Linked DNA regions of Kluyveromyces lactis. The protein of the gene in region 1 interacts with the protein of each later gene in a pairwise test. Links are inferred from orthologs where the notes say so. Each region holds a gene or a part of one and is shown in the gene's direction. Other genes may lie near its edges. The genes, in order: MUK1 and CDD1.

The links.
Region 2: the proteins of MUK1 (region 1) and CDD1 interact in a two-hybrid assay, tested with the Saccharomyces cerevisiae proteins (2 studies listed by BioGRID). The link is inferred for Kluyveromyces lactis from reciprocal best matches to the Saccharomyces cerevisiae genes MUK1 and CDD1.

What each region holds. Positions count from the first base shown.
Region 1 is NC_006041.1:2,073,385-2,077,251, reverse strand, and holds MUK1 (guanine nucleotide exchange factor MUK1), read left to right. Parts: upstream 1-1,489; coding exon 1,490-3,031; downstream 3,032-3,867. Other genes in the region: phosphatidylinositol-3-phosphate-binding protein BEM1, read left to right, coding at 1-210; KLLA0_E23343g (uncharacterized protein), read right to left, coding at 490-1,020; BTS1 (farnesyltranstransferase), read right to left, coding at 3,087-3,867. UniProt on the Saccharomyces cerevisiae protein: Putative GTPase-activating protein.
Region 2 is NC_006040.1:1,552,540-1,554,977, forward strand, and holds CDD1 (cytidine deaminase), read left to right. Parts: upstream 1-1,445; coding exon 1,446-1,889; downstream 1,890-2,438. Other genes in the region: SND1 (Snd1p), read right to left, coding at 1-493; methionine aminopeptidase MAP1, read left to right, coding at 2,416-2,438. UniProt on the Saccharomyces cerevisiae protein: This enzyme scavenges exogenous and endogenous cytidine and 2'-deoxycytidine for UMP synthesis.

The sequences.
Region 1 (3,867 bases):
TTTTATTACAAAGATGACATATTCGCCTTGATGCTGCATCCTACCATTACTTTTGAAGAATTGTGCAGTAAAATAGCACCTAGAATTGACGCAGATTCTTTTAAGTTGTACATCAAAAACGGAGATGATATTGGCACTCAAGTCACTACTGATGCAGAAGTACCGGTTCTAATTCAAGAGAAACGCAAGATCTTTGTCGATGACAGCTAAGTTATTTGTTGCAAAATTTTATCGTCATAATAAATAATACAAAAAGAACCCCAAGGTGGTCAAAATTCAATTTCTATCCACTGATGGCTTTCATGCTTATCATAATGATGTACTGTACATCGCATTGTAATACTTCAACATAATTTTGACATTAACACTCTTATATTCTTTCACATTAATTCAGTTCAACAAGTAAAAATCAGTTGTTTACATACTCTCTCTATAGGTGTTAATACTTCTATCAAAATGATAATAATACTTCACAAACATGTCTAAGGACTATTCATCCAGCTCTATGTCCATGTCTGCATCCGCGTACGGATCTGTATCGAGATCCATGTCAATGTCCATGTCCGCATTGTGATCAAACTCATCATTTCTATGCATGAGATTCGGTGCCAGATCAACTCTGGAATCTGCTGCAGTCTCAACATTCATATCTACTTCATCTAATTTTGGACTATGCTGTTGGTACCATTTTACCCACAAGCTTGCTACCACAGATCGCCAGTCATACCATTTTATTACCTGCGAGTTAAACTGTCGTACATGATCGAATATTCTTTCATATATCTTATCATTTTTGTTTGAACCACTCAATTCGCGTTCAACTACATCCCACATCCTTTTATTTACAACTGCTTTGAATGAGTTCAACCCTGAATCAATTTTATGTTTCTTTATCCCATCGGTTCCCCTAGGAGCCAACGATAGGTTTTCGAAATCATATATTAGCCGTTGTTTCTTATAGTTATCGATTCCTATCGGGTCAGGACTCCTTGACCTCTTCATCTTGAAGCCTGATGACATTGTATAGCTAATACCTTGCTCATTCGCAGTGAACTATTCTAAGCAGATGATCTGTTCGCTGCTACTTTTGTAGGTGTTGTTTCGTTTGTCCTAATTTATCTTATGGCCAACCGAGAACTTTCTGGAAGCTTAAAATGAAGATCATTAGAAATGTTTGTAAATTCACCCGTTAAGAAAGTTTCGTAGATGAAGCTGATACTACAGGTACTGGTTATCTTTTTCTTGTTAGATATCTCTTGATCGAGCCTTCAATATTGCCTTTAATATGCTTTTTTTCTTTTGTTTCTTCTAAGAGATATGTATTTGATCTTCTTCATAATTAAGGGTTTCGAATGTCTTTTTCATACTGAAACATTTAGTTCACAGCAACTTGGTTTACTTCAACAACGTTATAAGAAAAAGTTTATGATTTCTATCACTGCAAGCTTGTGAATCATCTTTGGACCTGCTCATGTATGGCAATTGAGCTATGTTCCATACTCCCCCATTTTCTAATGCTTCTTTCGATACTAAACAATCCATCACTGAATCTTATCGCGATAGTTTGAATTCGACGATTTCCAATAATAGCGATGCAAAGAAACCGAATGTCATGCTTCAAACTGCCAGCACATCGGCACCTCCATCACCAGAACTACCAATAGAATCTTCAGAATCCAATGATGATTTGATTCCCATTGCTAGTATACCTGATGAATTGATGAAATTGATTGATTTGTTCATTGATGATTTGAAACAGCCTAAATATTCCAGGCCTTTAATGATTACACAATTATCTCAGATATTCCAAAGGTTTTATGAGAGATTTGATAGATCTTGCCAACAACATTTTAATGCATTAGCCTCGCCTGGAAGTGTGAATGTTATGCTCAACGCGAGAGAAACGAGAAATAGTGGATTGAGTAGTATCTTCAACAGATCCAGAAGTAGTAGTTTTCGAAATAGCAGCATAAGAACAAGAACTAGAACTAATTCTGAACAGAATTATCAGCAATTGTTGACTCCAGAAGAAATATCCCATCAAATTAAGCTGCAAGAGGCTAATAATATCAAAACGGACCAGATTATGGATTTGTGTGAATGCGAAATATTCAAGAAAATACTGCAAGTTGGCACTTGTGTCCCAAATCATCCAACAAGACAGGCGAAATCGACTAGTTCGAATGAATGGAAAATGACAAGCCTATTTCGTAATAATCCGGAGTTTATTGAGTTTGATAAGATGTTGAATACTAAATTGAACACGATGAAAGAGTTAAGCAGTTCGCGAATACTTGATTTACCAGCATTTTTAGCGTTAGAGTTGAAACATAAAGAAAGACTTGATATGGTAGGGTTATTATTTGATAAGATGTTACATGAGAATGTATCCCCTTGCGACAAGGTACATTGCCTAATAGTATTGCATGATAAGCTATTGGCTCTTGATCAAAATAACGCTGATGAGATACTTCCTTCGATGATATATCTCTTGATAACAAATCCTCGAAAAGAATTGTTTTTGAACCTCCAGTTCATCAAGCTTTTCAGATTCCATCGAAGGTTGAAAGAGAAAGAATTATATGTCACTACGAATTTTGAAGCCGCGATATCTTTCATTGACTCGTTGACAACTAAGGATATAATAACATATTGCCAACACACTGATGAATTAAAACTTCCGCATTTGGAGTCTATCAGTGAACAAGTGAAACTTCCTCTAGCGACAGAGGAGTCATTTATACCGGATTTCAAAAGGTCTAACTCTCTTTCTGATTTAATATCTGTTGGTAATGTTATTGATTCTGGTTTTAGAAACTTGATGGGTCGCATCAAAACTTATACCCCGCCACCGCCACCACCACCACCGCATGTAGCACAGATACAGGTACCGCTACCAAGCATCGAGGTTACCGAGGGTCCTGCTACCGATTGGAGAAGGTACAAGGATTATAAATTCGAGGACTTGAAGGTTAGTGATATGCAAAGTATATTTGATATATATCGTGATTTAGCTAATAAAAATAAATAATGATGAGGAAGCTAATGAATTAATATATAAGATGGTCGTAATCAATATAATAGAATTAGTCTAACTGGGAGAGTTTCGACAATATATCTTTAACTGAAGAAAGCTCCTTTGGAACCAATTCAGTAGTAACTTTTTGTGCAAGAGTTTGGATAACCTGTCTGGTATATTCACCAGACTTTGTCTGGTGCTCCAAATAACTGAGCAATTTCTCTTTAGTACGAATCTCTGAAGGCCTTGATAAAACTGTTTTAAGGACATAATCATCGTTATCACCTTCATTCCTTGAACTAGCTATGGCATGAATTATTGGGAAGGAAAATTTCCCCTCGGTTAGATCATCAGCGAATCCCTTCTGTTCAAACATTGTCTTGGAGAATAGATTTAAATAGTCATCTCGTATTTGATACAAGATCCCAGCTGCATTAGCTAACGGTATAAGATCATATTTCTGTGCAAGCTCTTTTTTCGACAAGGCATGTAAAAGTCTCACCATTAACCTAAATAATCCTCCAGTTTTGTTCTTAGCCATCTCATAGTACTCGTTCACACTAGGAACAATCCCATCATCTCTCCAGTATATATCCTGACCTTGTCCCACATGAAGCCGTATTAGTTCGTCGTTGATAATTGATGGCAAAGATGGTTCATGCTCTTTAGCCAACAACTTCGAAATAGAAACATAAACTGCGCATTGAGCACTGTTCAAAGTGGTCCAGATACCATATTTTTTATGAGCTGCTACATGACCCCTTCTGAGCTCTGCATTATCCTCTATGTCATCTATTAATAAGCTGGCGGTATGAAGCTCATCGATGAAGGCGCTAACGGCATCTATA
Region 2 (2,438 bases), on another chromosome or scaffold:
AAAGGAAAGTGGTAAACCATTTCAAAGAGGTTGGAGTGACTTTTATTTTATAATTGATATGACATCTTTCGCCAAGAGTTTCTTTTAGTTCCGTCCAAACAGTCTCTATCAAAAACTTGACTGTCTCTACGTATCTCAATGAGCCACTAGAAGAAATTTCCAAATGGAAATCAAAATCGCCTGCGAGTTGTCTTGAAAGTGTCCAAAGTTCATCATTTTCACCTATTATACTCTTCAAAATTTTATCTCTCAGCCTATGCAACTTAAACTTTTTGTTTATTCGAGAGAGCCTGTTATCCTTAAGCTCATCATTATAATAATCAATCGTTGGGATATCGATGTAAAGATATACGTTAAAGTTGCTCATGATCGGCGTCAACCGATCACAATATGAGATGAGATACAAAGAATCGACATTCTGTACTCGAACCTTTGAAGGTTCATGAACCTGCTGGTTCCATAACCGTGATGTTATATTAGTGGAGGAATCCATTTATTATAGTAATCCGTTGGAGATGTATTTGCATAAAATCAAGGATGCCTCAATAATCGGATTATGAATGGGTGTAGTTGAATCATAAGAAGAGAAAGACGCAGACTTACAGGATCTGATTTGCAGCTCAGAACCAGTAGAATAAAAGCAATAGTGATATGTAACAAATTCTCAAACTAGGAAACCTAATCTGCTTATTAATTTTGACCTTTAACCAGCGATAATTGAAGTTGCACCAGTAAATGAGTCAAATCAAACCAAACAAAAAAGTATACTAATTCGAAGACAACGTGAATAAGAAAACAAGGAAACCACAAGGTCCTTCAGCAAAGTTAGCAGCGATAAAGGTACTCTCCTTTGCGTTAAAATAGGAAAAAAAAAATAATGCAGTGGTGTCAAGTAAGGCGAAATCAGCTTCTCGTTCTCCTCTTTCCACAACTGCTGTTTTATGTTCAAGCTTTCACCTTTTCTCGTTCCTGACTTATACCTAGTTTCAGTTTTTTTTTTCTTTCTTCTTTCTTTCTTCTTCCGCTTTAGTTTGAGCGCTGACACTTCAGGTCACGTGACGAGAATTTTTGGACCCTCGTACATGTTTAGCATGACACAAAACGTGATAGGACTTAAGGAAGAGCATCGTACTATACCCCTGCGAGCATCTAATATGGCGGGAAAACTGTATCAGTAGACAAACGGGAACTGTTAGCTTTACTATATTTACATACATATAGTTCATATGTGCTTTGCGATCAACGGTAATTTTTTGTAAGTAAAAGCAGCCAAGACGAAATCAAGCAGATAGTGACATATTTCATTATATAAAATCTCGATATGATAACGATGTATTTCTCACACAAGAAGATATCAGCCATCGTTGTATAAAGAAACCAAGAGGCGAGCGTATAATACACGCTGGACCCAGTTCGCTACTGAATACGCATCATTGCAGTATAAAATGGAGATCAAGAGCAAACTGGACGGTATTGAACCTACACAGGTAGATAGAGCCATTTTAGAGAGTCAAAAAGCAAAAAGTGGTTCCTATAGTCCATATTCAAAATTTAGGGTCGGATGTTGCATACTGACAAAAGATGGTACTTATATCACAGGAAGCAATGTGGAGAATGCTACGTATGGAGCCACCATATGTGCAGAAAGAGCTGCTATCGTGAAAGCTGTCACAAGCTCCCACAGAGCAGATTGGGTTTGTGTCGCTATCAACAGCGATATGAGAGATAATTACATTCCGCCATGTGGAATCTGTCGGCAAACGATCAGAGAGTTTGGAAAAGAAGATCTGCCAATAATAATGACAAACTGCGACACCTCTGTCAAAAAAATTATGACCCTCAATGAACTATTGCCAGAAAGCTTCGGCCCAGATCACTTTCATAGGTGAGCTAAGATTCGACTCTTTTTTGTGCAAGATTTGAACTTTTCCATAGTAAGAAACGAAATCAAAAATCAAGAAAGTTCTATATAGTAATTATTCATTAGCGTTTTGAGAGAAAGTTAAGAAAACATGCCTTTGGAAAACACCTTCTCATAAGCTAGCTACTTAGGATCAGAAGTAACCGCCAGTTAATCAAAATTTTCTAAGCACTATTCTCTCAATCGCCCTAAACCGAGGTTGTTCCTAAGATATTTAGAAATGTGTCATAGATAATGCGGAGTCTTCGCACTGTAGAATTAAAAGAAAAGTATGACATTTAAACTCATCTGACTTTTCAAATAAAATTTTTTGTTTCGACCTTTAATAAAGAACATGAGAACGAGATGCGATGAGAGAAGCTCAGATACAGCTCTTTCTACTCCTCTCTCTCACTTATTTATACCAAACGTATTCCAAGTGATATAGAAGGTGTTTCTGAACTGCACTTACTGACATAGCAGCTGTAAATCTTGGAAGACACTAAGAGGAAAAAATGCAGGAAAAAATCGCTAATGT